Linked DNA regions of Ovis aries. The protein of the gene in region 1 interacts with the protein of each later gene in a pairwise test. Links are inferred from orthologs where the notes say so. Each region holds a gene or a part of one and is shown in the gene's direction. Other genes may lie near its edges.

Region 1 (12,171 bases):
CACTTCAGTCGTGTCTGACTCTGTGCAACCGCATAGATGGCAGCCCACCAGGCTCCGCCGTCCCTGGGATTCTCCAGGCAAGAACACTAGAGTGGGTTGCCATTTCCTTCTCCAATGCATGAAAGTGAAAAGTGAAAGTGAAGTCGCTTAGTCATGTCCAACTCTTAGCAACCCCATGGACTATAGCCCACCAGGCTCCTCCATCCATGGGATTTTCAGGGCAAGAGTACTGGGGAGGGGTGCCATTGCCTTTTCCAACTGGGGATTAAACCTGGGCTCCGGCAGTGAAAGCACCAACTCCTAACCACTGGGCTACCAGGGAATCCCCATAAATTACTTTTCGTTCCCCCTTCCCTCTAAGCTCCACTTCCACGCAGATCTAAAAGGATTTCTGACTGTGGGCCTTTATTCAAGGCCAGCAAAAGACTTGAATGACTCTGAGACTAGCATTCTTTCCAACTTAGGCCATGGTATAACATTTCTGACAGGAAGAAATACAAGGTGGTGCTATAAAACAAGGGCAGAGAGCTAAATGCTAAATTCTAAAGTTGTGGGTCCTTGAAACAGCTACACTTAGAAGCTTGAACATTCGAGCAATATTGTTTTTAACCTTAGTCTATGGGTCCCACAAAGGGGTCTTCTGATTAAGTTCAGTATATGAATGAGACCTCTGTCAGTCACTCAGTCATGTCCAAACTCTTTGAGATCCCATGGACTGTGAGCCGCCAAGCTCCTCTGTCCATGTGATTCTCCAAGCAAGGATACTAAGTGGGTTGTCATTCCCTTCTCCAGCGGATCTTCCCAACCCAGGTCTCTCGCATTGTAGGCAGATTCTTTACTATCTAAGCCACCTAAAATTATATGTGTATAAGCAATTATTTTCCTACAGAGAACATTGGTAGATTTCATCTACCTAGACTATGTAGTTTATTGCCCGAATCACCAGACTTTTTAAAGTAAAGGGGGATGTTCTCAGTTAATATGCTCAACAACAGGCTTAACCTGAGAATTTTCTGGGCAAACTGAGAATATAGTCACTTTACTCATGACCCAAGAAAGTAATACATCGCTGCACCAGGTAATTTGGCTTTTCATTACTTCAACCCAAGTGACATTCATGAATTTTGATTGAAGGCAATTGATTTTTATACAATCAAGTGTATTATACAAGTGTCTTGGCTAGATGTCAGAGAGCTCTGGAAATCATTCAACTGCCTCTCTTCTCCAGTTCTAAGCCCTACCACCTGCATTCAACGCTGGTTGCTGTTTTGTGCTCTGCAGTTACTACTAACCCTGGATTCAGGAAATGGTGTGGTCCTGGAAATGTATGTCTTTGTACAAAGAGATTATTTCTTGTGCTTTAGAAGCACTTCTTTTCCTCATCCTCCTAAATGGATAAAAATTATCAAGGTTTGGTAATGAGTCTTCCTCTCTACACTTTCCCTTGAGATACATCTAATTGTATCTATAACATCAAATATATCAGTGATTGGGTCACAGTCTTTGATCCATATCAGAGTCCCTAATTCTAGACTCAGGAAATAGGTCCAACCTAGAGGTAAATCTGCTTTCTCTTCACTAGTCCCTAGAAGGAATAGAAAAAAAGTTTCTATTGATGAAGTAACCAATGAAGTAACTCAAATCTGTAGTATTAAGACTTCCAGGTGAAGCTGAAGAATAAGTTTTGAAAATAGTGGAAAAACCTTTATGTGTTTGTTAGTGAAGTGCTTGTATAATATAACAGAAACCTCTTTTAGAGAAGCTGAATATTGGTCTGTGACTCTAATTAAGAATGTGACTAGAATTAGGATTTTTAATTTAGAATTATAATGTATTTGGCTGTGAAAAATATTTATAAGATTAATATAACCTGAATTGCTAATCAGTAACTTTAATTTGTGATATTTACAAGAACTGCTAAAGTGCTTAGAAAAGTTTGGGTCATTATGTTGGCAAATGTACCCTGTTGAACATTTTGAAATGTAATCTATCTGATTTAGGTCAGTTTAATTTGATGATACTTATTTTACTCAAATAGCAAGAAACAAATTCTAGGACTTCCCTGGTGGTGCAGTAGATAAGAATCGGCCTGCCAATGCAGGGGACCCAGGTTCCATCCCTCGTCCCAGACGCTTTCACGTGCCACATGAACAACTAAGCCTGTTCACCACAACTCCTGAGGCTGTGCCCTGGAGCCCAGAAGCCGCAACCACTGAGCTGGCAAGCACGCCCCAGAGCGTGTGCTCTACATCAAGAGAGGCCGGGGCAGTGAGAACCCCACACACTGCAACAAAGAATAACCCCTGCTCACCGCAACTAGAGAAAGCCCTCTCAGAGCAACAAGGACCGAGAGCAGATTAAACAAATAAAATTTTTTTAAAAAAGAAACCAGTTCTAGATATCTGATTACAGCATTATGCTTATAGTTTAAAATATCATCTTGTACACTTCATTGGTTAAGAGGATAGCTATATTTCATGTGATTTTTTTTCTTACTATAATAAAAAAAATTAAAATAGATTTTGAATTTTATGCCAAACTTCTCTGTGCTGAGTCGCTTCAGTCGTGTTCGACTCTTTGTAACCCCATGGACTATAGCCTGCCAGGTTCCTCTGGCAGGAACCTTGCCTGATTCTCCAGGCAAGAATACTGGAGTGGGCCACCATTTCCTTCTCCAGCAAAACTTCTCTAATCAAAACCAAATTATTTTTGTATACTTTATACAAATAAACAAAATTTGTACATTTTTAAAGTTTTAGATCTAGGAAGAACTAGGTGTTTACATTTTACTTTTAATAGAGTATCAGTTCAGTTCAGTTCAATCGCTCAGTTGTGTCTGACTCTTTGCAACCCCATGAATTGCAGCACGCCAGGCCTCCCTGTCCATCCCAAGAAATGGGAAACGATTGTATTTGTACGCAGAAGCCCCCATACAGCTAAGTGACTTTCATAGAGAAGCAAGTTCTGTACCATCGATAGTATATTCCAGTGCTTACTATGTGCTATGTACCATTCTAAATATTTTTTCTCAATTATTTTATATAACCTTCCACAGATCCTATAAAGTGAGTCTTACTGTTTCCACTTCACAAGGAAGACGACTCAAGTACAGAGAGGTTAGGTAATTTGCAGGAGTTAGAAGTATACGTAGTAATCATCACACTAAATTTGAACTCAAACCAAAGGTGAATCTATAAAATGCCCCCTTCACCATCGCAGGACACTTCCTCTTGAGGATGAAGTCTAAGCTCCTTAAAACAGTATTCAAGGTCCCGGGTAAATCAAATAGCCCCCAAACAACTTTTCAAACCTATTGTTTATGAGTTTCCCAGATGTATCTGACTCTAGCCAGGGGTGGTTCCACTAAATATCCAACAAACATATTCTGGAAATTCTTTATCACTGTCTGCACCTGGAAACCTTGCTGTCTAGCATTAGTCCGAGCATTTTCATGACTAGCAATCTCTATTTCCTCTGAAAAATAATAACAGCTGATACCTATACCACTTGTTGTTCATCACTTCTCGTGTTGGACTCTTTGTGACCCCCATGGACTGCAGCATGCTAGGTTTCCCTGTCCCTCACCATCTCCTGGAATTGCTCAAACTCACGTCCATTGAGTCGGTGATGCCATCCAACCATCTCCTCCTCTGTCAACCCCTACTCCTCTTGCCCTCAGTCTTTCCCAGCATCAAGGTCTTTTACCCATCCATTATGGCATGCTCTTCTCATGCAGATGATTAATTTTTAGTGTGGGTCAATCTTAACTCTTCAATCAGATCATTAATAACCTTACAGCAGAGATAATGTATTCAATGTCTTTGTTTCCCCATGGGTATGGCTTACCATCCTGAATTGCAACTGTCCATGGATGTATTTGTCTACCTCAATAACTGACCATGTCTTTTTCATTTTCCTATCTTTAATGTCAGGCATAGTGTTTGCTACATAATCAGGCTTCAAGAATATTTGGTGAAGTGGGTGCTCAAGTGTGTCCAACTCTTTGCAACCCCGTGGACTGTAGCCTGCCAGGCTCCTCTTCCATGGGATTTTTCAGGCAAGAACACTAGAGTGGGCTGCCATTTCCTCCTTCAGGGGATCTTCCTGACCCAGGGGTCGAACCCGTGTCTCCTACATTGGCAGGCAGATTCTCTTCCACTGAGCCACCTGGGAAGCCCATATAAAAGGCTTACTGCTTTTCAAAGTTGAGCTCAAATCATTATTTTTATTCAAATTCCTAAAGAGATTATTTCTGTGAATTCATTTCAAATGAAAACTCACCATTTTTGAAATCCCTTCCTATTTTGCCCACAGAAACTCAGGCTTTATCAAAAAATTCACCTGCTTGAAAATATTTTGAAATAGTATGATCTCAACTCACTTCAAATTTTATTTTTATAGGGTTTGCATATCATTAGCTAACTTTCTGTTGTTAAAGATTTTTCTGTTCTGAACTTTTAAGGATTACACATAGTTTTCACAGGATTAAAATTTTTTACAGAAAACCCAAGTCCAGTCTTAAAATGTTGAATGAACTATTGCATAAATTTAAATGAGAAAGTAGTTGCACATCTTAGTTTATAGGTGTGAAAAATGATGGAAATAGCTTCCTGCTATGTTTAGCAGTAAAGTTTGCCATTGAATGAGAGAATATCTGTGAAATACCTTTGAATTCTTTGGAGAGGAGTTCCTGCAAGGTGATTAATAAAAACTCATAGTGTTAGGATATCTTTTTTTCAATAACTTCCTTAGTTTTAATATATTATAGGAATTCTTGGTTTGGATTACTTTCGTACCTACAGTGAATACACATTTTGTTTGCCAAGAAAAGGAAGTACATTGTGTGAAATAATTTATACCATAATGGAGGACAGCAGCTTATATGAGTGTAGGGGTTAGAACAGTGAATCATCTCTTGTGTGTTTCTAACTAAATAGAGGCAATCTGCCCGAGAGAGAGAGAAAAAAAAAAAAAATTTCTACAAACCACAAATTCCATCCAATCACATAAAGACAAATCAGCCTTCAGGCAAATCAAATGTCTTCATTTAAACTGTACCTGGATTTGGCACTCTGCCCACCTTTCTCAAATCTCTTAACAATATGCTTTCACAAAGAGTTAAAGGCACGCATACTGAAAGGGACTCCCTCTGCAACATTATTTTTTAAAAACAGGGAACTCTTTAGCCCCGGGAAGACCTGGAGAAAGAAAAGTTCCTTTCAGAGTCTGCACCATGTGAATACAGGATTAGTGGGTGGGATTGAGGTGTGCTCAGGTGCATAAATAGAGGCGTGGGCTGAGCCAGCATACTAGGAAGCTTGGACTGCATCGAGGCCGCCTGGCTCACACAGACAGGTGGGTGGGGAGATCCAGGTAAGGCTCCTGACAGTATTGTTAGACGGGCACCTGTTAGAATGAGCTTTGGCCTCTGGTTACCATGTAAAGGTGTAGGCAATCCACAGGCAGAGGAGTGCGGGGCAGTTCCAGGAGCAGCAAAATGGGATTTGGAGAGGGAATTGATGGAATTTTCACCAGAGGCTTCCTAGAACCTCTCTGTGAAGCGATGTTCCTGAGCTGATTCAAGGTAATGGTTTCTCTCCCAGAAAATGAGAGGTTTAAGAGCGAGCCAACTCCTGGAGTTTTCAAGCCTGACACACAGCCCAGGGTCTCCTGTCTTGGTTACTGAGCCCTGATCACCATCTAATGCTTGTTTCTTTCTTACTGGCAAAGCAAAGACCCACAGGGCTGTGAAACGTCAGCTCAGATAAGCTGCTGGGGATTACCGATCAGAATATTATTGCAAATCAGGAAATAGCTTTCCTTCTGTGTCTGATATAAAGATATCCTTATTGCTTATTCAGTCTTTAAATTCATAGCGCAGAATGCAAAAGGAGAGATCTGGTTACTTTCCTAAAGCATTTATGAACAAGGACATTGAAACCTCCTGCAAGGCATTCGTTGATGAAGACAGAGATATAGTGAGCAGTGAAAAGTGCTGGTTTCATAGTGTGTGTGTGTGTCTCCAAATTATCAGTGTCCTCCATGGTTAGCTTTCTGTTTTGAGGTGGTTTATGCATGCAATTTGCAGATCACAGTCAATTCAGGACTAAAAATTGATGTGTTGAAAACAGTACAGTGAATCTCAGAAAATCTTGTTTGTACAGCAGGAGTTATATTCGGCTCCCTTGAGTCGTTCTGCCATAAAACATGTATGAGGTATCAATAGTTCCAATCTGAAAGCTGCAAAGCTATAAAAAGAGGTCCTAATGGCCACTTGCACAAGAATTGTCAGTGAATTACATAAATACTTCACCACCTGTTTACTGCTATTTTTGCTAATATACATTTGTTGCCATACATAAAATATAAAATCAAACGTTTGTCGATAAATTTCAAGCCATTACTTGCATGATATTTTCTGAATCAACCATTATCCTGAATAGTGTAATTATTCTCACATAAGGGTTCTTGGTTTTTAGTGTTGTTGGCATGAAGAAGAAGTCTTTGTAACAAAAAGGCTAGAAGACTTGTGTAGCACAGTTGGGGTGCTTGTGCAAAATACTGGATACAAAAATTGTTACTGGCGTTTCTGTATCTTTATGGATATAGAAAATGAAGACAGTGTATCCCTGTTTTTGCTTACATCTTTTTTGTGAGACATTGCGTGGCTACTACATACTATGACATAGACAATAATTGGTCAGATTAATATAAGACATCATCTGGATTTGGTAACTTAGCAATGCCTTTTTTTTTTTTAATTGGCTAATGCTTAACAAAGGCTTCCCCAGGTGGCTCAATGGTAAAGAATCCACCTGTCAATGCAGGAGATGTGGGTTCAGTCCCTGGGTTGGGAAGATCCCCTGGAGAAGGAAATGGCCACTCATTCCAGTATTCTTGCCTGGGAAATTCCACGGTCAGAGGAGCCTGGCAGGCTATCGCCCAAGGCGTCTCAAAAGAGTGGGACATGACATCACGACTAAACAACAATGCTTAACCTGCTATCAGAATATGAGAAAGTTTACCCCTTAAAAACACTGAACATTGGTGGTCCATCCTGTTTCTCTTGCAGAGTTCATTTAATTTGAAACACACCAATATTAGAGTTAGGTGTTTCTTTTTAACCAGTTTCAGTCTTCGGCTTTACTAGCATCCCAAGTCTCCAGCTTTGCACGTCATGGTCCCTGGACAGCCCTAGTGATTCGTTAGTGCAATTCACCTTGCTAGCTCACTTACTTCCTCACTCACTCATGGACCTTACCTTGCTATTCTCTTTCCCATTCAAAAGTATCTGCTTTGAAATAGTACAACATTTCCTGATATTTAAATTTGGAATACTGGAAAGAAAAGAAAAATTAACAAAGAGACATTTACGAGATTGGTCTCTCTGTGTGATGAGTCCCATAGAATATTTTATGGGATAAAATAGAAATATTTTGTGCACAACCACCTACCTATACAGGCCCACACTAAGTGTCAAAGAATTAGCTCACTGGAAGAAATTTCCACTGATGTATTTTAACCAGTTCAGAACCAATATATCTAGAGTTTGAGTAAATGTTACACTAGGGAGAGAGCTGTGTGTATGCAAGCCTTTAGTTAAAAGATAAAAAGTTGGCAGTTTCTAAATGAAATAAATCATTTCACTCAGATCTTATTTTTCAATGGCAGTGTCCCCATTTTAACAAATATTAAAGAAATATGTATGTTTAGGGCAACTTTTTCCAAATGGGAAGATGGGAGCCAGCAGTGCAAAGTGGCAAGATCCAAAAGCCTTGGTTCTATGCCCCTCTCATTGGTCTTCATTTCTCTGAATTTCAGATTCTTCATCTACAAAATGAGACACTGGGGAGGTGGGGAAAGAGGATATAACTCCTAAGTTGTCTTCTACTATGATGTTTTTTATGAAAAATATAAAATTTAAAAGCAAATTCCCTTAACTATAAGAATATATACATCTATCTCCTAATTTTCTTAAAACATATCTGTATCTATTTCTACATTGTATATTTCTATGGAGATCTTCATCAGTATATTTTTTTTTTCTATACAGATCTTATATAGAGGTGGATAGATAGAAATTTATACTATGCATTCTTAGGAAAGTTCTGTGGAAGGTATTTTTTCACTCCAATTGCATGTGCTCAATCCCATCTAAGCCTCAATTCTTGTTGTGTCCCACGCTTGGGTTGCAATCTAAAGACTTTGAAAAATTGCCAGTTTCTTTTTGTTTTACTGGCTTCTTGCTAATTTACTTGTTTTCCATATCAGATTTGCCATGGAGAAGATTCCAGTGTCAGCATTCCTGCTGCTGGTGGCCCTCTCCTACACTCTGGCCAAAGAAACCACAGTCAAACCAGGAGCTAAGAAGGATACAAAGGACTCTCAACTCAAACTGCCCCAGACCCTCTCCAGAGGTAGGAGTCACACTCCCGCTGGCCTCCAATTATACTTAATTGGGAAGGATTTAACTCTCAGGCCTGAGATCTGTGTGAACAAATTTTTGTATGTGTTCTTTCTACATTTATCAAAGTTTACCATTATTTCTGTTTTCTCTAGAGGTTTTTGCTCTTCTTTAGTATCAAGTATATAATGATCCCAGTTTTACAACTGTTTATCAACAGCTCTGGGTCTGAAAACATAACAGTTTTAGATACACTGGGTTTTTTTGTTCTAGGTTGGGGAGACCAACTCATCTGGACCCAGACATATGAAGAAGCTTTATACAAATCCAAGACAAGGTAAAGACAAGTTTAGGGAACTCTCTCAAAGCTCTCAAGAGAGCCATCTAGCGATCTTTAGTGACACACAAAATCCTACTCATTAAACATGATCCTATCTCTCTTTGTCTCTTGAAGCAATAAACCCTTGATGATTATTCACCACTTGGATGAATGCCCACACAGTCAAGGTAATTTATACTTCTAAATATAATTTCTTTTATAGGTTTATAGCTTTAGAGGGAGGGTCCAGATCTCTCATCTTTATACCCTTAGCACCCAGCACAGTTGAATTAAAAAGAATATTTTATGTAGTAAACACAGTAACTTCAAATATTTCCACGTTTTGTGTTAACCATTGGCTCACAGTTTGAAAATACCAGCTCTAGAATTCATCCCTGACTTCTTGCTTTGTCTTTTATCCCACATTCAATACATCAACAAATACCAAAGATTTACCCTCACAGTATGTCCAAAGGCCAGCACCAGCCTCCTGTGCACACCATCTGTGCAATCACACAGGACACAGCGCTTCGAAGGCTCCTATGCTTGCTGTAAAGATCAGCTGTTGCCATCTTAAAAGTCATAGTAATTTTTGAACAAAGGGCTCCATATTTTCATTTGGCACTGGTGATGATGGTTTAGTTGCTGTCTGACTCTTGTGACCCGATGGACTGTAGCCCGCCAGGCTCCTTTGTCCGTGGGATTTCCCAGGCAAGAATACTGGAGTGGGTTGCCATTTCCTTCTTCAGGGGGATCTTTCCAACCCAGGGATCAAACCCAGTCTCCTGCATTGCAGGTGGATTCTTTACCTCTGAGACAGGCACTGGGCCTCATATATTACATAGCTGCTGCCCAAATGCAGCCACTTCCTACTACCTCACTGCTACTGCCCTGGTCCACACCTAGATGAGATCTTGCCTAGCTCTGTGACAGGCACCTACCTGGCTACCCTAGGATGCATCCCTAATATCTTTGAACATATCAGCCTCTCACTTCAATGTCATTTCCTCAAAGAACTCTTCCCTGAACATTCTATACTTTCAAACTTCTTGCTTTGCTTTCTTTTTCTTCAAAGTGCTTATCTCCACCTAAAACTACTTGCTTGTTTATGATCTGTCTCCTACACAAGCATTTCAGTCCTATGAAGAAAGCACATTTTATTTTTTTCCCACTGCTTTATTCCCAGTACATGAAACAGTCTTGCCACATAGTAACCACTCAGTAAACACGGGTTAAAAAAAAATTAAGAGATGAATGATTGACTGACTGAGCAGGAGAAACAAAGCTGGTCAATGGTCTAGATATTTCTTTGTTAACCATTTGCAGAAAGGGTGTGGTTCAATACTGTATTAAAAATACAGTTCAGTTTAAAATCTAACAGAGAACAATGGTTTCACCTGGTGATGAGATGAATGCTTCACTATTTTTCTTTGCATTACAGCTTTAAAGAAGGCATTTGCTGAAAATAAAGAAATCCAGAAATTGGCAGACCAGTTTGTCCTCCTCAATCTAGTTGTAAGTTAGCTCTTCATCCTCACTACCATTTCTCTCAGTATTTGAAATGGATGGTTCCTTCTTTCTCTATGTCTTAATCATACTACTTTAACGGGGGGATCTGTTCTGAATACATCTCATAGACTACAGAGAGAAAAGATTTTATTTTGCATCTGTCTTGCGTGTCTACATTTTTGTTTACGTGTGTGTGTATATATGTGATCACATCCATGCCCAGTTGCTCAGTTGTATCCGACTCTGCAACCCCATGGACTGTAGCCTGCTAGGCCCCTCTGTCCGTGGAATATCCCAGATAAGAATACTGGAGTAGTTGCCATTTCCTTCTCTAGGCAATCTTCCAACTCAGGGATTTTGTTTAGTGACTAATAATTTTAAACTGTCTGAATAACACTCTCCTGTGGTCCGGGATTTCTTGGTTGCTGTAATAAGCGGGAAGTCTTTGTCATTTACCAATTCCTTGCTGTGCCCCTTTCCCCTGCAGCCCTGGCTGCTCTCCACCCCTCCATGTGCCCTCTCTTCTCTCTGGAAGAGACAGCTTTCTGGGTGGCCAAATCTAATCACTTCACGAATGCTGTGGGCCAATGCTTCCCTATCCTAATTGGCCATCACCACCTCTCTTCATGGTAAAGCTTTCTGTTTTTATAAGTTCTACTCGGTGTAGAAACAGGATCCACTTCTGTTTCAAAGGCAAGCGATCAGTAAACAACTCAGAAGACTCTTTCGTCACCCGGGACTTCTCTCTCTCTCTCCTCTTTCTGGGTTGACAGGTGAGCTTCTTCAAGGAGCATCCATACCAGCCATTCTTCTTCACCTCCTTCCACAGGCTCCTCTTTCTCCATTTATCCCCTTAATATAAGTGAGTTCCTGATCTCTATTCGACCTATTTCTCTTTCCATATTTTATATTCTCTATGGACAATTTCATCCAGACCTGCTCACTGGTAATTCCCCCCGTCTTCCTCGAATACACAACAGCTTCCAATCTGTGTCCACAACCAAATTTCAGAAATCTTGCAATCAGCTTTAACTTGATATGTTCAACACTGAATTTATCAACATAACAGGTTTTTCACAAAGCTCTTTCTTCTCCATTCCCTATTCCATTAGAGTGTTATTCTAGACTTGACTCTCTGGCAGTCATGAAGGCCTTTGGTTCTGACTTGGAAACAGTCTTACTATTGGTCACTTCCCTGTAAATCCAGGACCGCTGTTTTAGTGTAGGAGTTTTTCACTTTACTAGCTTACAGTAACTGGCTCTCTGACTGCAAAGTAAATCCTGTCTGATTCCACATGATTGTCAGGGTATTTACTCTAAAAACCGAATCAGGATCACGGCTCTTCTAACATCCCTCCAGCGGTTCTCCATTTACGGGCAAATCTGAACACTGTGGTGAGGAGTGCGAGGCCACTCACGAGCCGCCCCCGGAGTAGCTTTCTAGCATCATCTCTCGCCACAGCTTCAGCATCCCTAGCCTTTGTGTGTGTGTTCAGTCACTCAGTCCAACTCTCTGCGACCTCACAGACTGTAGCCCACCAGGCTCCTCTGTCCATGGAATTCTCCAGGCAAGAATGCTGGAGTGGCTTGCCATTCCCTTCTTCAAGGGGTCTTCCTGACCCAGGGATCAAACCTGCATCTCCTATATTGCAGGTGGATTCTTTATCACTGAGCCATCCAAAAGCCATCCCTATACTTTAGACTCAACCAAATACTCGATTATAGAAACTTCTAGGTCTTTCATCTGCCTTTGTATCATCGTCCCCCCTCCTCTGCCCAGAATGACCTCCTTTTCTATGTAACTGACTCCGATTCATTTTCTAAAGATTTCTCTTCACCCACTTCAGAAAGTTCTATGGAACCTGCAGACAGGGTTAAATGTCCCACTCTGGGCGCTCGATGTGCCTGCATATCCCTCATCATAGCATCTCACCCACCG
Region 2 (12,186 bases), on another chromosome or scaffold:
AAGGTAAAGTCAAAGAGTTATGATGATACTGATATGAAGAAAAGTTAGCCCAGGCACAGAAGAAGGATGTGGGCAAGCCAGGCCTGTTGGAGAGGTGACAGCACTGAGCCAGCTCCCAAAGGCTGAGTGGATGTTAGGCAGGAAAAGCATGGTGTGAGGGGTGGGATTTCCCAGCAGAGGAAAGAAGATGTGTAAAGAGAGATGCGACGGATGACAGCACCCTGTGAAGGAAGAGTAAAAGGGGGTGCAGGTGAGGAACTTGGAACTTTATGCTGACAGCAATAGGGTATCACTGCATGTTAACAGGGAAGGGCAAGATGTAGTCAGATTTGCATTTTATAAAGATATTCTCTGCACAAATTAGATTCTGGAAGACCAGAGAGGGGAAAACCATTTAGGAGAGTATTGCAGTAATCTAGGTGGAAAATGGTAATTATCTGGGAATAAAAAGGAAGGGAAAGTGATGTTAAGGAGTTAAAACCGCATTGATTTGTTGAGAAAACGGAAAGCCAAGGATAAAGGAGAGGAAAGGCTTTAGAATGATTCCAAGGATGATGGCACCATTCACTGATACAGGACCTGCAAGAGAGAACAAGGCTGAGTGGAATGTTAAGGTCCTTTCCAGCTTGTGGGGTCTGAGGCACCAACTGAACTTGCAAACAGAGCAACTTGGTAAGGAATAGGTACCTGGTAGGAGACAGATCTGGGCTGTACCTTAAAATTTTAATCCCACAGATGGAAATTGAAGACATGGGAATGGCAAAAACAAAGAGATCCTAAGATGCAACTTCAAAATATAAAATGTTGGTTGAGGAAGAATTGCCCATGAAAGAGCCTGAAAAGGACATTTAGAGAAGAGGAATATGAAGAAAGAATAAAGTCAAGAGAAGAAAAGGAGAAATTTCAAAAAGGGAGGAGTCCATGGTCTAGAATGCTGTAATGACATAAAATAAGGGCCAAGGCAAGTGTATTGGATTTGGCAGCAAAATAATTCATCAACGAGCTTAGTGAGTAGTTTCAGTGGAGCGGTGGATATGAAAGCTGCACTGCAGTAGACTGAGGCTCTAATAGATGGTAAGAATATGGAGACAGTACAGATCACTTTTTCAAGAAGACTGGCTATGAGGGGGAAGGAAAAAGCCAGAGCAGGTTATAGAAATGCCAACAGAATCCAGGGAGAGTTGTTTTCATTTCTTAAGATGAGAGAAACTGGATTATCATAATGTGAACAAGAAAAGATACCACCTCACCCAGATATAAAACGAAGACATACAGATAGAAAAAAAAAAATCTTTGCAGGTACCAAATTATTCTAATTTCAAGCCATGCTTTCTCTTGACTGAAACTGAAACTGTATGTGTTCATCATTCTATCTCGGTAATTTAGCCCAGCAACTAGGTCATAATGAGAATTCCAATATATGTTGAATGAATAGGTGGGTGAAGAATTTATAGAAGTAAATAAAGTAGTTACAGGTAATACTGAAAATGAGAACACATAAATTGAGAGAATTATGGCTTGCTGTTTTATTTTTCATTTGGGGGTATACAAAAGTCTTGCCAGGCAGGGTATGATTCCTCTGAAACTAGAGACCATCCATGTGTAATAGCACTTGGGACAGCAGAGGAAGTATTTTATTGGCAACATGTATTGATTGGATAGAGAATGCAAACAAACCAGGAGGGGGCTCCAAACTTTGGGGGAAATAGAGGAAATAACTGACTGAAGTTCTCGTCAAGCTAAGAACTGATGGTATGAGGAAAATGAAGAAGCCGAGCAGATGAAAATCTCTGAACACAGAGTGGCATGTTAAGTTTCACAGGAGGAAAATCTCTAGTAGTGACAAATCACAAGTTGTAGCCCTGGATGTAGTAGGATAAAGTGTAGTAAAGCTAAAGGTTATTAGAGATTAGGAGATTGAGGCACCGTGAGGCCAGAGTGACAAGTATCTTATCCACATGGACTTTGAGCTCACCCAAGATGATGGCAAGACACAGTGGGACAATAAGAAGATGGTGAGCCCAGTGCCAGGATTCTCCGTGATAGATGTTAGATAACAATGATAAACGGGGACAGACAGTAGATAATGATAGATGGATTAGATGGTAGATAATGATGATGAAGTAGGCCAGAAGCTGACAGCCAAATGGAAATGGTCTCAAAGGAAAAGATTTCCGTAAAGGAGAAGGAAATGGCAACCCCCTCCAGTATTCTTGCCTGGAAACGTCATGGACAGAGGAGCCTGACATGGGAGTCCCTGGGGTTACATGACTGAGCTCACAAGCATGAGGGCAGAGGGAGACTCGTTGGTAGCAATAAACCGGTAGAACTAAAAAAGAAAAAAAATGTCAGAAACGTAATGGGTGTGGGAATGGGGAGCGAGAATGCAAACCCATCTTCCTCTGACTGTGGTATGAGGGGCATAGGAAATGAGCAAACTCTCACTCAAACTGCTGGAGGGAGACTCATTATTTGGGTGAACAGACCCAGATTAAAAAAAGATAAGGCAGAGACTTCCCTGGTGGTCTAGGGGTTAAGACTTCATGCTCCCAATGCAGGGGGCCTGGGTTTGATCCCTCGTCAGGGAACTAGACCCCACACGCCACAACTAAAGACCCCGCAACTAAGACCCAGATACATAAATATCAAAAAAAAAAAAAAAAAAGGCAGAAGAGGCAGTCACAAATCCTTCACATAACATCATTCAACCAACACATGTGGATCCTATAAAATGGCTGCCTTGCTAACAAACACATGAAAAGATGCTCAACATCACTCATTACCAGAGAAATGCAAATCAAAACCACAATGAGGTACCATCTCATGCTGGTCAGAATGGCTGCTGTCAAAAAGTCTATAAACAATAAATGCTGGAGAGGGTGCAAAGAAAAAGGAACCCTCTTACACTGTTGGTGGGAATGCAAACTAGTACAGCCACTATGGAGAACAGTGTGGAGATTCCTTAAAAAACTGGAAATAGAACTGCCTTACAACCCAACAATCCCACTGCTGGGCATAACACTGAGGAAACAGGAACTGAAAGAGACACGTGTATCCCAGTGTTCATTGCAGCAATGTTTATAATAGCCAGGACAGGGAAGCAACCTAGATGTCCATCAGCAGACGAATGGATAAGAAAGCTGTGGTACATATTCACAATGGAATATTACTCAGCTATTAAAAAGAATGCATTTGAATCAGTTCTAATGAGGTGGATGAAATTGAAGTCTATTAAACAGAGTGAAGTAAGCCAGAAAGAAAAACACCAAAACAGTATACTAACGCATATATATGGAATTTAGAAAGATGGTAACGATGACCCTGTATGCAAGACAGCAAAAGAGACACAGATGTAAAAACCAGACTTTTGGACTCTGTGGGAGAGGGCGAGGGTGGGATGATCTGAGAGAATAGCATTGAAACATGTATATTATCATATGTGAAACAGATCACCAGCCCAGGTTTGATGCATGAAACAGAGTGCTCAGGGCTGGTGCACTGGGATGACCCAGAGGGATGGGATGGGGAAGGAGGTGGGTGGGGGGTTCAGGATGGGGAACACATGTAAACCCATGGCTGATTCATGTCAATGTATGGCAAAACCAATACAATATTATAAAGTAACTAACCTCCAATTAAAATTTTAAAAATGGCTGCCTGTTGTTAATGACAATTAGCAGGTTGCACTCACCATTATTTGGCAGATACATCCTTGTACACTGCTGTAACTTTATAGCCTTTTTTGGAAGAAAATCAGCCATCAGTCTCACACACAAAATCCTAAAACATAATTTAAAAGGTCTTAGTGTTTCTAAAATTTAGAGGCTTATGGTTAAAACAGAAGGAAGCAAACTCTGTAGGCAAACTTCAGAATTCTCCCTCATTCCCCATTCACTGCTAGGAACTGGACAGGTGCTTTAAGACTTTTCTGCTGCTCCTTACATCTGTCCCTCAAATCCTCTTACAGGGCCCTCAGAGAAACCACTACCTTTCTCTGACATGTAAAAGTTAAATAACTTGGCACTGAAAAGCAGGGTTCAGAAATTCTGAAAATGCTATTTCCCATAAGTGATATATATTTTAAAAAATAGAAAAACTTTCCCTTCAGCTTTACAACAGGCTAAAAGGGTTTCTGTGATCTCTAGAAAACCATTCTTTGTAAATGAGCTTGAAGCATCGTACTGTCCCTCATCATGCTATCACTCTCTGTACTTCATGATGATACAAATGAGGGTCAGGCATCAACTCCTTTTGTCTTTTATGAGCTACGCTGAGGCTCTTAGAAGGTCACTGCACTCGAAAGCCGTGGACTCACCTGACCCAGTCTCTGTGGCTCAGGACATGTTTCCTGGAGCACTCAGTGACCAAGCTGTGACCTGAAGCAACAGAAAGCAGGCACATTCACAAGACTGAGGACTGCAAGGAGTTCGATATATTAGATCTCAGAGTACACAGTAAGGAATGACAGGAGACCCAAGATATAAGAAGGGGCGTCGGAAACCACGGTAAGGAATGTGGTTTGTACTTTCTCTTGGAGGAATGGGACAGGGATGAACAGGAGCTTCTGCTGACTTCCACTACTTCCACACAACTCAGTGGCTGACGTGGACTGCGGAGTCCATACAGAGAGTACGACTCTCATATAGAGGGTACAACTCTACCTCTTCAGCATCAGTACCACCCGCCCCCGCCCCCACCAAGCACCTCTACCCCACCCACTTTCCCAAGCTGCAGAAGCAGGACCCTAAACCTTCTAGTATTATCAAAGAAGAAAATAAAGGACTGAGTCGGCCCTCAGCTGACTGCCCAACTGTATCATCAGTATGAGAGGTCTGTAAGGGAAACTGGCCACTGGTTCTGTATGACCTTTTCTAGATGGGGTCCAGGTAAGAGGTAAGAAGATACAGAGCTTGGAAGCTGCAGGGAAATGTATGATGTTAAAAATCCAATCTAATCATTTTTTCAAATGTCAGTGATTCCACGCTATAGAGAGAACAGGGATTTCTAACTGATTTTAAATTAGGTTACTGCTACTGATAAATGGAAGATGAAAGGTTAACATGGCCATTTGTTAGCAGGTCTGCATGGGTCCAAGTGCTATTTGCCCTCATCTAATCTTATTCTGCTCTTCCTGGGAAGCCCAAGGTAGCCATGAGATAAAGGGCAGTGTTAGGTGAACAATGGTAAGAAGCCATTCTAGGTGCTTCCTCCCCACCTTCTGGAGTCAGGCACTTGTATTTCAGTCACTGCGAGATCACAGAGAGGCAAGTTGTATTTCCAAAGGGAGCTAAAGCACTACTCTGATCTTAACAGGCAAATCCAAGTCCTATCTGGTCCCAAGTTAATCACTAGTACGTGTCAAAAACTACCTAAATAAACACACTTTAGGTGACTTTCTAATAGACAAAAGAAAATCAAGGATTTTCTTAACCAAATATCAAGGATTTTCTTAACCAAATACAGTGGTTTGAGTACTGGGAAAGTAAATACAGGAATGGTTTTAGTTAATGGCATAGCTGACATCTGGCTTTCGTTTTTTCTGCACATGGCAGATGTCTACAGATTCTTTCACTTATGGGAGTTTTCATGACATCCATCCATGTTTCTACCTCTTGAAATTTTTCTTAGTGGCCTGCCAGCATTTAAGACCAAAACAAAAATATAATCGGTCCCTATTGTGTGTCATGCACCGTACCAGGTGCCAGGATATTTACCCAAAGTCCTGGAAACCCAAAAACACACTGCAAAAGGACATATTAGAAAAATAAATAAAATTCCAGTCTCAATATCCTATTAACATAAACTTTTCAGCTGTATTTGGTCATGAAGTCTTACATTACTTACAAGGTAATTGCTGTTATAAAAAAGGGATAGGTCATTAATAGTCTCATTTTCCAAAACCTATTTGATATATGCTCTAAATTATGCTACATCCAACAAAGTGTGCACTTTGAACTTGCAAACAGAAAAACTATCTTCATACAGAATGCATTCTAACTCTTGAAATAATTGTACCTGTAAGTCATAGTTTGAGATAGAATACATAGGCTTATCATGTTTATTGCTGTTGAATTTCAGAAGGGGAGCTAAGAAATTTATAGAAACTAGAAGGTTTGGCATTAATGAAGTCAAGTGGCCTCTTGAACTTTAAACTTCCACATCACAATATGAAGCTGGTTCTAAGATAAGAAATAGAATAAATTCTCTCCTAAGGACGGACCTGAATCTCTGATTGCTCAGAAGCTGAGTTAACTGGAGACCATGGCGTTTGATGGTACTTGGAAGGTAGACAGAAATGAGAACTATGAAAAGTTCATGGAAAAAATGGGTAAGTGCTTAATACTTTAATAGCTTGTTCTTTTGTTTTTCACAGACATCTTTAACTCCTTCTAAACCTCAAGGCTTAGGCAATGGCACCTGTTGTGCTGGTGAGGATCAAGAATGCGTGCTGGTTCAGTGTAGGGAAAACCACACTCTCACTTCTTACATTAGAAAGAATACACTCTCACCAGTGGAAGAAAAGATTTTGGGGCACTGTTCTCTAAAACACAAAAAACATCCAGATATGTTTCATTTATGTCAACTGGTGACTGAAAATTGAATGGTTTTTTGTTTGTTTTCTGTTTGTTTAGAAAGTAAAATATGGCAGAGCATAATGATAACTTTCATACTTTAAAATATTAAATTCTAGGGGGTGGAAAAGCAAAGGCCATTTAATAAAGCAATGGAAACAAATGAGACTTAATTCTCTTGCTCTGGCTTGCAGAGCTTTTGGAATGCTCTCACGACAGCATGTAGTTCCTACAGAAGTTTTAATTTAACAGATTTGAATATCTATACCACTACTCTGGCAGCCCATACACTGAGCACTATGGGCAAAAAGATTGGTCATTCCCTAAAAATAAAAATCTGCATCAATTATATCCTGTAGTTTAGGAATTCCAAGTTCACATTTCTTATAATAATGAATTTCATGTAATATTTGCTAATTTTCTCATTTCTATGATAGAAATACCACAAAAAGCAAAGAGAATTATGAAATTCAAAATTTTAAAGCCATGGAAAGCAAAGGGACATTAAAAAAGAAAGTGTACCATACATGTGGAATTAAAGTAGTATAATCCTTATAAATATATAAATGTACTTTCTTAATCCTTCATTTGATATCCCTGGAATTTGATTTACTTAACACTGAAACAAAAATATTTATAATTTTTTAAAAAATTAGTTCTAAGATTCTACAATTCTATGCTTCATTTAATTTTTTTTCAGTTTTAGAAAAATAGTTTGATATGATTGAGCTTGTACTTTTTCTACAGAAGCAATCTGAATGCTCTTGTGCAAAGGCAATATGATCAGGTATTCCTCTTCACCCACAAAATATTAACTGGTTAATGAACTAGTTAAAACAGAACTTGGAAAAGTAGCACCTTCCATGGCATTTTGACTTTATTTCCTCCAATCTCTTTCCCTTTGCAGGTATTAATGTGGTGAAAAGGAAGCTTGCAGCTCATGATAATTTGAAACTGATAATTACCCAAGAAGGAAATAAATTCACAGTCAAAGAATCAAGCACTTTTCGAAGCATCGAAATTATTTTTGAGCTTGGTGTCACTTTTAACTACAGCCTCGCAGACGGAACTGAACTCAGTGTAAGAAATTTTTTATAAGCAAAGCATTCCTGATTTTTCTACATACTACAAAAATAATCTCTGTTTTCTTCCACTGGATCGCTTAATGAATGTAGGTCTCCTTCATTTACTGAAGCAGTCAGTGGAGTTTGTCCATATTAAACATCATACAAGTTAGCAGAGTATTTAAAAATGTTTTGATTTTCATACGTATCTATTAAAGAACCTGGATTAAGCAATTAGAAAAATATCCTTTGAATGACTGAGTATACACCTATTTCATAAAGAAAATTTCAGTGTTTTCAACATATCTGACAGCAATAAAAGCTTCTAGAGCTATCTAACTTAAATGTAATAGACATGGAATTGAAATGATAAAATAAATGAATAAATTAGAAGGTGTGACCAAATAGAAAGGTCCAAGGTCACAATGTAGGTCTCTGGGAATTCACTTTTTACTATTGAAGATAGAAAATTTTAAGATATAAAATGGGGTCACGTTTTTCAACTGGTTTTTAATAAAATGTTTCCACTTAGAACTTTTCTGGTTAAATTAAACATGTTTGCAATGACAATTAAGCTGCCAAAGATTTTATCAATTATGGCTGCATTTTAACTGTTAACCACAAATACATAAATTAAATCAAGCACAAGCTTGTTAACTTCTCTGTGAAACTAATATGAACCATGATTAAACTTAGAACACTCTTTTTAATGTGAATGACTTAGTAAAGAGAAGCCCCAATTATCTGCCTTACGATTCAGCACTTGGAAACTACAGAGCCAGATGGTTACCAGCATGTACTCTAGAGCCCCAGTAATCTAGGTGCAAGCTTGGCTTTGTGACTTTAATTACTGTATTTCAGTTTTTTCATCTGTGCAATGGAGAGAAACATATTTACTTCATAGGGTTACAGTGAAGTTTGAAGAAGTAGATCTGTAGGCCTCAGAACAGTGCCAGACACATCTAAGACCCTTAAAAATGTTTTATTATTATTATTATTTTGAAATCTTACACAGGGGGCGTGGGCCCTGGAGGGAGATAAACTTGTCGGAAAATTTAAACGGTTGGACAATGGAAATGAACTAAACACTGTCCGAGAAATTATAGGTGGCGAAATGGTCCAGGTGAGTTATTTTCCGAAGACAAAAATAATTACATAGCAATGATTTTTATCTGGGGGGTTGCTGAGTTAAATCATCAACAAACAGACTATTACTTTTCTCATAAATATTACTGAGTTTTATAGGTATTTTCTGATGCCTATTTGAAGAGAACTTATGTACGTCAACACATTGAGCCTATTTTAACCGAAAATGTGACTACAAACCAAAACATATTTTTAAATGAATGTCTCCTCTATCTGTATAAAATGTGGCTATCAAGAAAAAAAATGCATTCTGAAGCTAAACTCTACTAATATTTTTCTTAATTGAGCCTCTAATCTTAATGTCAAATTCTTCTTCGTTTGTGAACACCTTTCAGACTTACACATATGAAGGTGTGGAGGCCAAGAGGATTTTCAAAAAGGAATGAGCACTGTTCCTGGAGCACCGCCCAGAACACAGATTAGACGGAAAATCTGTACTGAACCAGAAATGCTTTCCTCTCCTCATCTGGTATAAAGTTGCTGATTGACTAGATCTTTTATAAGCATTGGTGAATGGCTTATATCTCCAGTCTCACCAAAGAAAAACATGTAAAAGCTAATTAGGATTTAACTTGTCTTAAATTTTCTAAGATGTATTTACTGGTGTTCTAAAAGAATGTGACATTTTAAAAAACATATGAATAAACATTGTTCCCACATTGCTTTAAAAGTAGTCTCTCTTAAAAAAAAGACATATGCATTAATAGACTGTTTTGGGTTTTTCCCCACATTTGGTAAATTAAAGACATATACTGCATGGGGGTCTTTATAATCTTGTACTGGTAAATATTTCCCTTAGCAACATTTATTATAAAAATAATACATATTTAACCAGAAAGTTTAGAACTAAGGAAAACAAATGCAAAATAAATATTTCCATAACCCATAAGCCAGAGAAAATCACTATTCTGATTTTAATAGAGATCCTCCATCTTCTCCTCTGGCTGCGGATTTGTGTATTTCTCCATACATACATACCATTCTGAACAAAACGACAGGAAACAAATGATGTGCTAAGGTAAAGTGCATTTTATTTTTCTGCATTGCCAGTGATTCCCAGACCTGGGTAAGCAGCATGATCATCTGAGAAACTTAAGAACTGTTTGCATGCTTAATCTCTACCATTATCCTATTAGGTCAGAATCTCTGAAAACAGAACCAGGGATTTTAGAGAACTCCCAAGTGGTTCTGATGCAGCAGGTACACTAAGCAGTCTTTGAGAACAAGTGGGCTATCAGGCACCAAAAATGTCATCTTCAAATGTCACCCCTCCCCTTTTATTCATAAACACATACACTGACAGTTTTTTAGGTTCCCAAAAGTTTTCTTTCACTCATATACTCACATAATATACTACTTTATGTATTTCAACCAATTCCATTTTAGGTCGGTATGCATACAGGGGACAGAGGTGGTAAAGTTTTTAAGCATTTGGCTCTATGGACTTTCGTTTTGACTATTTTTCACATTGATGAAGGTAATAGCTAACATTTATATAGTTCTTACCAAGTTCCAGGTACTGTTCTAAGCTGTATATAAACATGGCACATACATTACAATGTAGAAAGAAAAATGTTTGTGTACATGTTGAAGATGAACAGATTAAAGAATATAATCTTTTACAAAAACAGGAACTTAAATCCACTGTTCATTTTATAACTTTATTAAAATCTTCACATTGAAAACAGTAACTACTTAGATTTTTCACACTTTCTAGAAATAAAGGTTCAAAGTGCTTCTACCTCTAGGATCTTGTCTACATATGTGAAGTAGGAAAAGGGCAGGAATTAATTTCATCTGACAGTGGAAAATCTATAGTATAGAGAAGTTTATTCGCTTGTCTAATGTTGCAGAGAGTCCATAAGGAACACAGGAATTAAATGTAGGTCTTGACTCTTAGTACATTATCATCTATGCTATTACTCAGCCTACTATAAAGAAATATATCTTTTAAAAAAACACACAAAAAACCCTTAATTCTTTCGTGGCACCCAAGAACAGCACTCCAAAGGAGTCAGGGCAGACTGTAAAACAATGGCAATTAAGTGGTTAGGCACTTATCTATTTCTAGCCTTATTGCAGGCTCACTTTTTTTTGTTAATAATTTACATCCTTTCTTAGCACTAAATCTCCACTATTTATTAGTACTGGAGAGCAGCGTATTGTTTGCTAAGTGACTGCCATTGTTATAACCTCTCTCTGGGAAACTGACCTTGAAACTGACCTTTCAGTGCCAACTGAAAGGACCTAGAGAGGGCGTCTGACCCAACAGCAACAACTCTAACACAGTCTGGCCAGTTTATGAACTCGCAGAACGAACAACAAACTGAACCTAGAATGAATTTCAGAGATACACGATAATTGGTAGAAGGAAAAAGGTTTCAAGAGGACAGAGAGGGCAGACAGTAAGTAAAAACCATGAGTACAGAAGCTATGAGCAAGCAAGAGCCGCAGGGTAAACTACAGAATACCCTGAGGAGCAGTTATTACAGGAGCAGCTGGGTGGTAAAAGCTGAACATTTACAAATGGAATATGGCATTTGGGGTTCCCTTCAAACTGCTTCCTCCCCAATCTAGGATAGGGGAGGTAGTGGAGAGTAGTATAGCAGAAATGAGGTTGGTCACAAGTTGACAATTGTTGCAGCTGTTTAAAACAATCCCCTTATTACCTACCTATCTGACATGCTGACGCCTGACAGGTCCATTGTATACCTAGTAGGAAAATTAAACTTATCTCCCTACCTCTGTATGTGTTTGACATTTTCCATAACAAAACGTTAAAAACTTTAACACATACCTATATAAATCCAGACGCCAACCACTTCCCATCACTTCCACTGCTATCATCTTGGTCACCACTAATTTTTCCCTTGATTACTGTCACTGACTCTTTGCGACCCCATGAATTGCAGCATGCCAGGCCTCTCTGTCCATCACCAACTCCCGGAGTTCACTCAGACTCACATCCATCAAGTCAGTGATGCCATTCAGCCATCTCATCCTCTGTCGTCCCCTTCTCCTCCTGCCCCCAATCCCTCCCAGCATCAAAGTCTTTTCCAAGGAGTCAACTCTTCGCATGAGGTGGCCAAAGTACTGGAGTTTCAGCTTTAGCATCATTCCTTCCAAAGAAATCCCAGGGCTGATCTCCTTCAGAATGGACTGGTTGGATCTCCTTGCAGTCCAAGGGACTCTCAAGAGTCTTCTCTAACACCACAGTTCAAAAGCATTGATTCTTCGGCGCTCAGCCTTCTTCACAGTCCAACTCTCACATCCATACATGACTACTGGAAAACCATAGCCTTGACTAGACGGATGTTAGTCAGGAAAGTAATGTCTCTGCTTTTGAATATGCTATCTAGGTTAGTCATAACTTTTCTTCCAAAGAGTAAGCGTCTTTTAATTTA

What was found.
Region 2: the proteins of AGR2 (region 1) and FABP2 interact in binary tests that used the Homo sapiens proteins (3 or more experiments, as listed by UniProt). The two-hybrid records come from large-scale screens. The link is inferred for Ovis aries from reciprocal best matches to the Homo sapiens genes AGR2 and FABP2.

What each region holds. Positions count from the first base shown.
Region 1 is NC_056057.1:26,280,608-26,292,778, reverse strand, and holds the start of AGR2 (anterior gradient protein 2 homolog), read left to right. Parts: upstream 1-5,311; 5' UTR 5,312-5,584; intron 5,585-8,271; 5' UTR 8,272-8,278; coding exon 8,279-8,417; intron 8,418-8,677; coding exon 8,678-8,741; intron 8,742-8,858; coding exon 8,859-8,911; intron 8,912-10,164; coding exon 10,165-10,238; intron 10,239-12,171. UniProt on the Homo sapiens protein: Required for MUC2 post-transcriptional synthesis and secretion. May play a role in the production of mucus by intestinal cells. Proto-oncogene that may play a role in cell migration, cell differentiation and cell growth. Promotes cell adhesion.
Region 2 is NC_056059.1:6,358,754-6,370,939, forward strand, and holds FABP2 (fatty acid-binding protein, intestinal), read left to right. Parts: upstream 1-6,224; 5' UTR 6,225-6,261; coding exon 6,262-6,328; intron 6,329-7,479; coding exon 7,480-7,652; intron 7,653-8,651; coding exon 8,652-8,759; intron 8,760-9,117; coding exon 9,118-9,168; 3' UTR 9,169-9,452; downstream 9,453-12,186. UniProt on the Homo sapiens protein: FABPs are thought to play a role in the intracellular transport of long-chain fatty acids and their acyl-CoA esters. FABP2 is probably involved in triglyceride-rich lipoprotein synthesis.